Ovis aries: one gene and its partner. The protein of the gene in region 1 purifies or fractionates together with the protein of each later gene. This does not show direct contact. Links are inferred from orthologs where the notes say so. Each region holds a gene or a part of one and is shown in the gene's direction. Other genes may lie near its edges. The genes, in order: PRDX1 and TXN.

The links.
Region 2: the proteins of PRDX1 (region 1) and TXN purify together in Homo sapiens (affinity purification with western blotting; 3 studies listed by BioGRID, with this or other methods). This does not show direct contact. The link is inferred for Ovis aries from reciprocal best matches to the Homo sapiens genes PRDX1 and TXN.

The regions. Positions count from the first base shown.
Region 1 is NC_056054.1:20,142,926-20,146,775, reverse strand, and holds the start of PRDX1 (peroxiredoxin-1), read left to right. Parts: upstream 1-837; 5' UTR 838-1,131; coding exon 1,132-1,249; intron 1,250-2,532; coding exon 2,533-2,649; intron 2,650-3,850. UniProt on the Homo sapiens protein: Thiol-specific peroxidase that catalyzes the reduction of hydrogen peroxide and organic hydroperoxides to water and alcohols, respectively.
Region 2 is NC_056055.1:13,076,897-13,080,794, forward strand, and holds the start of TXN (thioredoxin), read left to right. Parts: upstream 1-1,032; 5' UTR 1,033-1,093; coding exon 1,094-1,117; intron 1,118-3,898. UniProt on the Homo sapiens protein: Participates in various redox reactions through the reversible oxidation of its active center dithiol to a disulfide and catalyzes dithiol-disulfide exchange reactions.

The DNA.
Region 1 (3,850 bases):
CATTCTACAGGCGAGAAAAGTTAAGGCTGATTGATTAAGACTCTTGCCTTAAGGCCACACATAAAATAACAAGAGTTTTAACCCAGGAAGACAGAGCCCCAGTTTCTATAAACCACAAATCAGAGCGGTGAATGAATGAGATCAAATTTCAGAAAGATTTCCTGCAGCCGCAGTGGAGTGAATGGGAAAGGAACTCATGCAGGGGAGCTGGAATGCAACAACCCTGTTATAAGGAAGAACAATAAGAGAGGCTGTCTAAATAATGAGGGTTACGGAGGATCAGTCCTTGGAGAAGGAAATGGCAACCCACTCCAGTATCCTTGCTGGAAAATCTCATGGACAGAGGAACCTGGTGGATTGCAGTCCATGGGGTCGCAAAGAGTCGGGCACGACTGAGCGACTAACACACACACACACACGGAGGATCAGTACTAGAGCAGAGGCTGCGGAAACAGGGGCGGAATATTTCAGAAATACTTGAAGAGATCGTTCTCCTCAGGGTTTGGTTAGACGTAGTCTTCCGTGAGCAGCAGCGAGTGCCCGTACCCTGGTTTGGGCCTTACGAACAAGGAGGAGGCGTTCGTGTTCTGAAAGGACTGAAAGAGCGCCTCAAACTCAGGCCTCAACCGTCGGCGGCGAGAGGGGGATTGGTACTCTAAGGGCGGGAGCCCGCCCCCAGCAAGGGAAAGCGCTGAGTCATCCTGGCAGGGCACGTCGGGTCCCGGCGGTGTGCTGGCCATATCCCCCTCCCCATTCCCCCCGCCTGCACCCCCGGCCCGCCCTGACTCTCGCGAGAGCCTTACAGGCTATAAAGGCAGCGCCCCGCGCACGCCTCGCGCGTCTTCTTCCTCGCTGGTATCGGTCCTCTTTCTCTGGAACTGGTGAGTATGAGGGCCGCGCCCCCGCCCCGCCCGTCACCTTTCCCGTCTTCTCCTCGGGGCCCGCTGAACTCAGCTGGGCTCCTCGGACAAAGAAGGCGGCCAGGCGAAGCGACCCTCGTGTGGGGCTCCTTTGGGTGCGGGGACGAGGTTGAAACCCGAGGCTAACGGCAGCTTGAGTCTCCCCTACCCCCAGCAATACAAGCAGAAAGCGCTGATTGGCTTGGCGTGGCGTCTGGGCGGGTTGGTGGTGATGGAGTCTCCTGACGCGCGGGTAAGGGAAACTTCTCGAGTGAATCTGCAAACTGATCAGGAACTGAGAGCTATCAGTCGATCGTGTAGTAGAAGGAGAGGTTGTTCCCGGTCTTCAGGTGTGGAAAGTTACTAAGATTCCGTTCTCCGTCTTTATTTTTCCACCTGCAGAATGGGGTTTGTAGTGATTCTAAATGTCCTCGGTGAAGACTGAGCACTCTTCTGGAGCTTTCTGAGACGCTAGGGTGGGGGTGATGATGGGAGTGGCAGGGAGGGTACAAGAAGTGGGTTTTGGCGGAGTGGCTTTCACCAGGGACCTTCAAGGGGCGATTTCCTGAAGGGGACACACCCGGTGGAACTCCAGCTTCCCCGCCTCCCGCTCTTGGTCGTGCTTTAGTGGACGTAGGGATCCCTTGGAAAAGGTTTGAATAAGGAGGACATGTATATTAGGGTCACCTCCTGTGTTTGGTTGGGTTTTTTGGTTTGCTGTTATAGGTGTTAAGCGGTTAAAAAAAAATTGTCACAGTCGATGTTCAGTCTTTCTTTTGGCTGTAGTATTATGAACCAAGAATTTTGGGACTTGAAAAGTTAGCTTCTTGGGATTATCAAACTGATGACTTACTGGGTTAAATCTTACCATGTTCTTGACCAGGGTGAATCCAGTGTTACGTTGCTTTTTGGCAATAAATTGACTCTTGTTCTAACCATTTTTCCAGGATCTTGGTCCCTCGGTAAACTCACTTTTGAAAGGACTTCTGGGCTTTAAACACAACACTTAGAATTTTGAAATTGAGAGATGCCATAATCTTGGACTTGGCCTCTTAAAAAATTGGATTGGCTTTAGGGTGTGTGTCTTGGGAAATCTACCCAGAGAAAGAACGTGTGCTTCCCACGTTCTGAAGGCAGATGGAGGTGCAGTCCAGGGAAAGGGCATCATGGCAGCTTCTGAGGCTTGGGTGCTTAGTGTTTATGGCATTGCACCTTTGGGCCCAGGTTTGAGAGTTTCCACCCTCTTCTCTTTGTACACCTGTATAATAAACGTACACAGGAAAATGCAGTTGTACTGATGATGGTTCAGGAACAGGAAGAGTTCAGTTTATAAAGAAATTCCCATTTTAAAATGAAAACAACATTGTAAATCAACTATATTCCAATAAAAATTTAAAGATCTTAAATGAACAGTCCCTCCCCTCAAAAATGAAAACAGAGGTGAGATTCAGAGATGTGTAATATTTTTGTTTGAAAAGTTGGAAAGCTCAGTTCATGCTTCTCACTGTTATAAAAGTTTATGTGTATATTCAAGACCAGTGGACAATTTCTACAGCTTAGTCTCTTAAATAGATGAAGGTTGTTATCTAGAAAAGTAAGACTTGTTTCTAATTCACTTTCTCATCTTTTCCAGCTGATAGCAATATGTCTTCAGGAAATGCCAAAATTGGGCACCGTGCCCCCCAGTTCAAAGCAACAGCTGTTATGCCAGATGGTCAGTTCAAGGATATCAGCCTAGCTGACTACAAAGGTAAGAGTAATTAAGTTCATTAATATGAAATTATAGTACAGTCTAGGGAGGGCTTGTTCACTCTATCTCTTGTCATGTTTGAGTGTAAAATGATTTTTACATCTCATTTGTCTTTAGGATAAGAGGCTGTTGCCTTCCTATTGAAGTGGTGATTATCATCAGTGAACATAGGGTAGATCTCCAAGTCCAAACTACTTCTGGAGAAGGCATGTGCCTACTTCATTATATCTGGACATAATATCTCAATTATCTTCCCAATATTGCTCCTCAGTTATTTAACTGGAGATACACTCATTATCTTGTTACAGTTTAAAGCCTTGGACAATTTAAAGTCTCAGAGCTCAAGTCTTTGGAGCTGTGAAACTGTTCAGTTTACAAAATGTGTGTCACGATTGAGGGTTTAGGCATGTTCCCTTGACATTTTACCCCCAGAGAAAAATTGATGTCACAATTGGAACAACTCTCCTTTCTGTTAAGTAGTTTCATGTAGAAACCAGGCAAATACTAATGAGGATCTTTTTACTTTACTGTCCTAGAATAGCAAGGTATTCTGGGACAGTTCAAAATACGGATTTCCTAGAATTTAAACTTAAGGACTCAGGCGTCAAGTATACCTTTCTTGGTGATACAGCAGTTCATAGAGTTAGCTTTTGGGTAAAACCTATGACTAGATTTCTTAACAAATTCCACATACTGGTTGGAATGAGAGCAGATAAGTGGGGCCCTGTGGAGGAAAGCTCCTCCTGGCAAACAAAGTAAGTAGTACCATAGGGAGGTGACCCTGGCCTAAGGGTAAAGGCATGAGGTTTAGGAAGAGTTGCTCTGTGCCCTCCTGGGCTTGACCTGCTGAAGCTTGTTAGCAAAACCCTGGGGGAAGGTTGAAGTGTGTCAGAAGGACCAGCATATTTTGATTTTGAAACATTGCTGGTATCTGGAAATGTGAATATTTGGAATTGTTGGTGAGAGACTGCTTGACAGGTTGAAGATCTACTTCAGTTGGTAATCAGAATGACTTTAATAAAATTCCAACTAGAAATCCTATTACCTTCCAGGAGAATTTTGGGACCTTTGTCTTAGAAATTTTTTCTTTGCTTGTGCATCCTATCAGACTTATTTGAACCATGTTTGTGGTGATTTAGGTATCACTTAGACCTTACCTATCACGTTAACTGTGGTTCACTGTGGAAGAATAGCAAAGGCT
Region 2 (3,898 bases), on another chromosome or scaffold:
TCCAGTGTTCTTGCCTGGAGAATCCCAGGGACGCGGGAGCCTGGTAGCCTGCCGTCTATGGGGTCGCGCGGAGTCGGACACGACTGAAGCGACTTAGCAGCAGCAGCAACTATTTTTTGAGTGCCTACCATGTGTCAAGCACTCTCCTAATCACTTTAAAGGAATTTTATTTAATCCTCAAAACACCACCGCCAGGAATCAGGGACCATCCTGATTCTCATCTTACAGTAAGGAAATCGGAGGAACCGGGAGGTCACCTGCTCAGGGTCACAACTGTGTCACTTCCCCAGGACTTAACAACCAGCATCAACGCTACCGGGCAGAAGCCCGGTCGGTTCACAGTGGCACTAAACTGCTGTGTCATGATGCAACAGCAGGTTCCTGGGTGAAAGTGAAAGGACAGGAAGAAGGAACCAGGAGAACCGTCGCGGTACATTCCGGATAAGGAGGCGGCGAGGGCGAGTGGGGGCTCACACCGAGACACTTCCTGGTTATCGTTACTCAGCATTTTGTGGGGGTTCGCGAGACTGTGGGGCGGTGGTACAGCGGGTCTTTCCGAGAAACCATAAATGGCCTCTTCTCTGGGCGCGTCCGATTAAGGTCTGGCTGGCTCCTTCCCAGGTGACCCTCTAGATCAGGGAGTGGCCGCCGGCATGCGCCCTTTAAATCACCTGATGGCCCTCCCGCCTTCCCACTCGCAGGTGGGGTACAGGTGGACGATGCCGAAGGTTTCAAGCCCAGACGACTCCCAGGAGCTCCGCCCCTCGCCCGCGCTCGCGTCCGCCCGGCCCCTCCGGCCCCGCCCCTGCCAGCGGTCCCGGCCCCGCCCCCGCCAGCCGTCCCGCCCCCGCCAGCCGTCCCGCCCCGACCCGGCGGCTTCGGGAGGCGGGGCCTACCCCTGGCGCCGGCGCGGGCGCGGGAGGCCTGAGCGGGCGCGTCCCCGCCGCACGCACGCCGCGCGCGCCCGCCCGCCCCGCCCACCGTTACTATAAAGGGAAAGCGGGCTGCGAGCTGGCTAAGCTCCGTCCGGCGCCTCGCATCCGTTTCCATCGCTTGCACTGTCAGGTCGCTCTTCAGACCCCCAGCTGCCAAGATGGTGAAGCAGATTGAGAGCAAGGTACGCGTTCCGGGGCATGCCAGGGCGCAGCACGAAGCTCCGGGCAGCTGGGGTAGGCGGTGGGCCGAAGGTGGGCAGTCCACCCCTCTGCATCCCTCGGGGAAGAGGACGCGGCGGCTCGGCCTTGCACTGCGGGAAGCCCGGGCCTGGGCGCGCCCGGGACGGTGGAGCGTTCCCTGGAGGAAGGGAGGAGACGGACAGGCTTCCCTGTCCAGGTGACTTAGTGTGTCTGGAGGATGCACGCGCGCGGAGAGCGCCCGGGAGTCCTCCACTGCGCCCCCGCCACCCCTCTTCCCGGGAAGCCGCGATTGGGTAGAGGATGGAGGGAGGCTGCCTTAGGCCCCCCATCTTTATCCGGACACGGGCCTGGGCAAGGAGGTGGAGGGCTTCTTGAAGAAAGCCCGGGCTTGCTGGCCGCCACTCCTTCCTCGTGGAGCCGCGTGATCCACCCGCGCTTTTGGATGCAGTGAGCTCCCTGGGGAGCGGGTCTAGGCCGGAGACCCCCCCCCTCCCCCCGGCTGCCGGGGCGTAGAGGTGACGCGTGCTGCGGCCGCGTGAAAGGGGCGGTTCCGGGCTGGAGACACCCCCACCCCAACCCCTACGAGTCCGGCTTTAGTGGCCCAGGTGGCGGCAAGGAAGTGAAGTCCGGGCCGCGCCCTCGGGACTCCTCCTCCTGCGACGCAGGGGCGTGTTTCCGGCAGCGCTGGCTTCGGAATGACTCAGTCCCCAAGGCTGGGCCCGGGGGCCTCCACTGCCCTACCCATCTGGGATTCTTTCTCGGTCTGTGGGGTTCGCTGGAGCCCGGAGTCCCCTGGGTGCGGCCGCGCCCGGCCGTGTGCTCGACGGCGGTTGTGTCCTTTTAGGAATGCCCAAGGCAAAAAGTGTTGCATATATCGAGAGTTATTGCAAACTTAATACTCTCCTGCTCGGAGAATTCAGAGCCTGAGTGTCTGGTGTACTGTGCGCGCCCCCCGCCCCAAGAAATGGATGCTAATCCAGAGTCAGAAAAGTCAGTGGGAGAAAACTTCCCACCCCAGTAAAGCAGGGAATGGCGAGTGGAGTGCCCGAACTTGGTTCAGATCTGAGGTTGGCTTCGAGGAATGGAGGTTTCAGTGTTAATGGTTCCTTTTCTTCCTTTTACGATCAAGAAACATAAAGATCATTGTAGGAAATCTGGGAAGAGAGAGATCTGTTTTCCTAGAAGCAGCCACAGATAATTGACGTTTTTATTTGGGAGGTGTGTGTTTGTGGTCACATTTAGTCTGAACTCTTTCTGTGTAATTAGAAGATTTTGGAATCATTTCAATAACTGAAGACATTGCTGGACATTGTAGGCAGTTTTCCATGCTTCGATGAATGTTTCTGTTACGCTTTATACAGCGTTGAGGCTGCTTCCTCAGGTTAGGGTCAACATCGGTTGTGTATTTAGTTGTGAAGTCATGTCGACTCTTGTGACCCCATGGACTGTAGCTCGCTAGGCTTTTCTGTCCATGGGATTTCCTGGGCAAGAATACTGGAGTCGGTTGCCATTTGCTTCTCCAGGGGATCTTTCCAACCCAGGGATCAAACCCACATTTCCTCGTCTGGTTTCTTAACCATGAGCCACAGGAAAGCCTGGCGTCAGTATCTACTGAATGACTGGTAACAGTCTTGGGCGAGAGGGGGCGGAGGGGGGTGGGGTACGAGGGAGGGGAGTAAGGGGTGTTCCTCTGTAGAGGCTGGCGACTTCTTCAGTAGAATCTCTGAAACCCATGAAAGGAGTGAAAAATCTTTGGTCTAGCTGATGTGTCTCAGAATCCATACAACTACAAACCAAAAATGGATTGATTCCTGGAGCAGAGTCTTTTCAAAATTCAGTCTTTTCCTATTTTAGTTGCCATATTTAGTTTCCTATTTAGTTGTGGCACTTTCCTCCCCTCATTAATGGCAAGATGTACAAGGGTGACAGGAAGTTCATTACTCAGAAAAAGCACTGATCTGGGTTTGTAATCAATGGGTCTTCAAAACTATGATCTAGAGTCAATCAAAAGGTAAGCTGATTTGAATGTTTTCTTGTAACTCTTGAGTACACTTTCGATTTTCATTCTGATGGACTAAAATTGGTGCCATTGGTCATCCAAGACAGCTGAGGTTTTGGTAGTTCAGAACCACTGGGGTCTGTTTCAGATCCAAGTGGGATACCTAGACTATAAAAGTGAGGAAGAAGAAATCAACAGTTTGTTCCAAGAATGGCCACTGCCGTTTCTTGAACTCCTAATTTGAACACACGGGCACTTTCACTGAATGCTTTACAAACCACTCTGAGGCTTGTTGATTGCCTTTGGAATGGGTGTATTTAGGGAAAGAGATGCCAGAAGCTGCTCTTATTTATTTGCCCCAAATATGAGTGCATTGTTTTGTTTTCAGAACCTTTGTGTCAGTGATGGGGACCTTTATCAATGCTCACTGGTAGTTTCTGGAAGCTAGAAATTATGGTTTGCTTCTTAGTAAGATGCAAACTCAAGTGGCCAGAGAATAGAATTTGTCATGAAGTCTTACCTATACCTGGCTGTGTGACTCATGTTCAGTGAAGCCAAAATTTACTGCTGAAAGATATTCTAGATTGAAAGTAACCTCCCCAGTATTGACTGAAAGCCAACCATGTTCACAAAATCATGCATTCATCTGAGCGGACACTGTAATTCCTTATTTTCCTGTCTTACCTGGATCTTGCAGTAAAGAATGGCTGGTTTGACCTTAAAAAAATCACATTAGGGAAGGCTTTGAAGGAAATTCATCTGG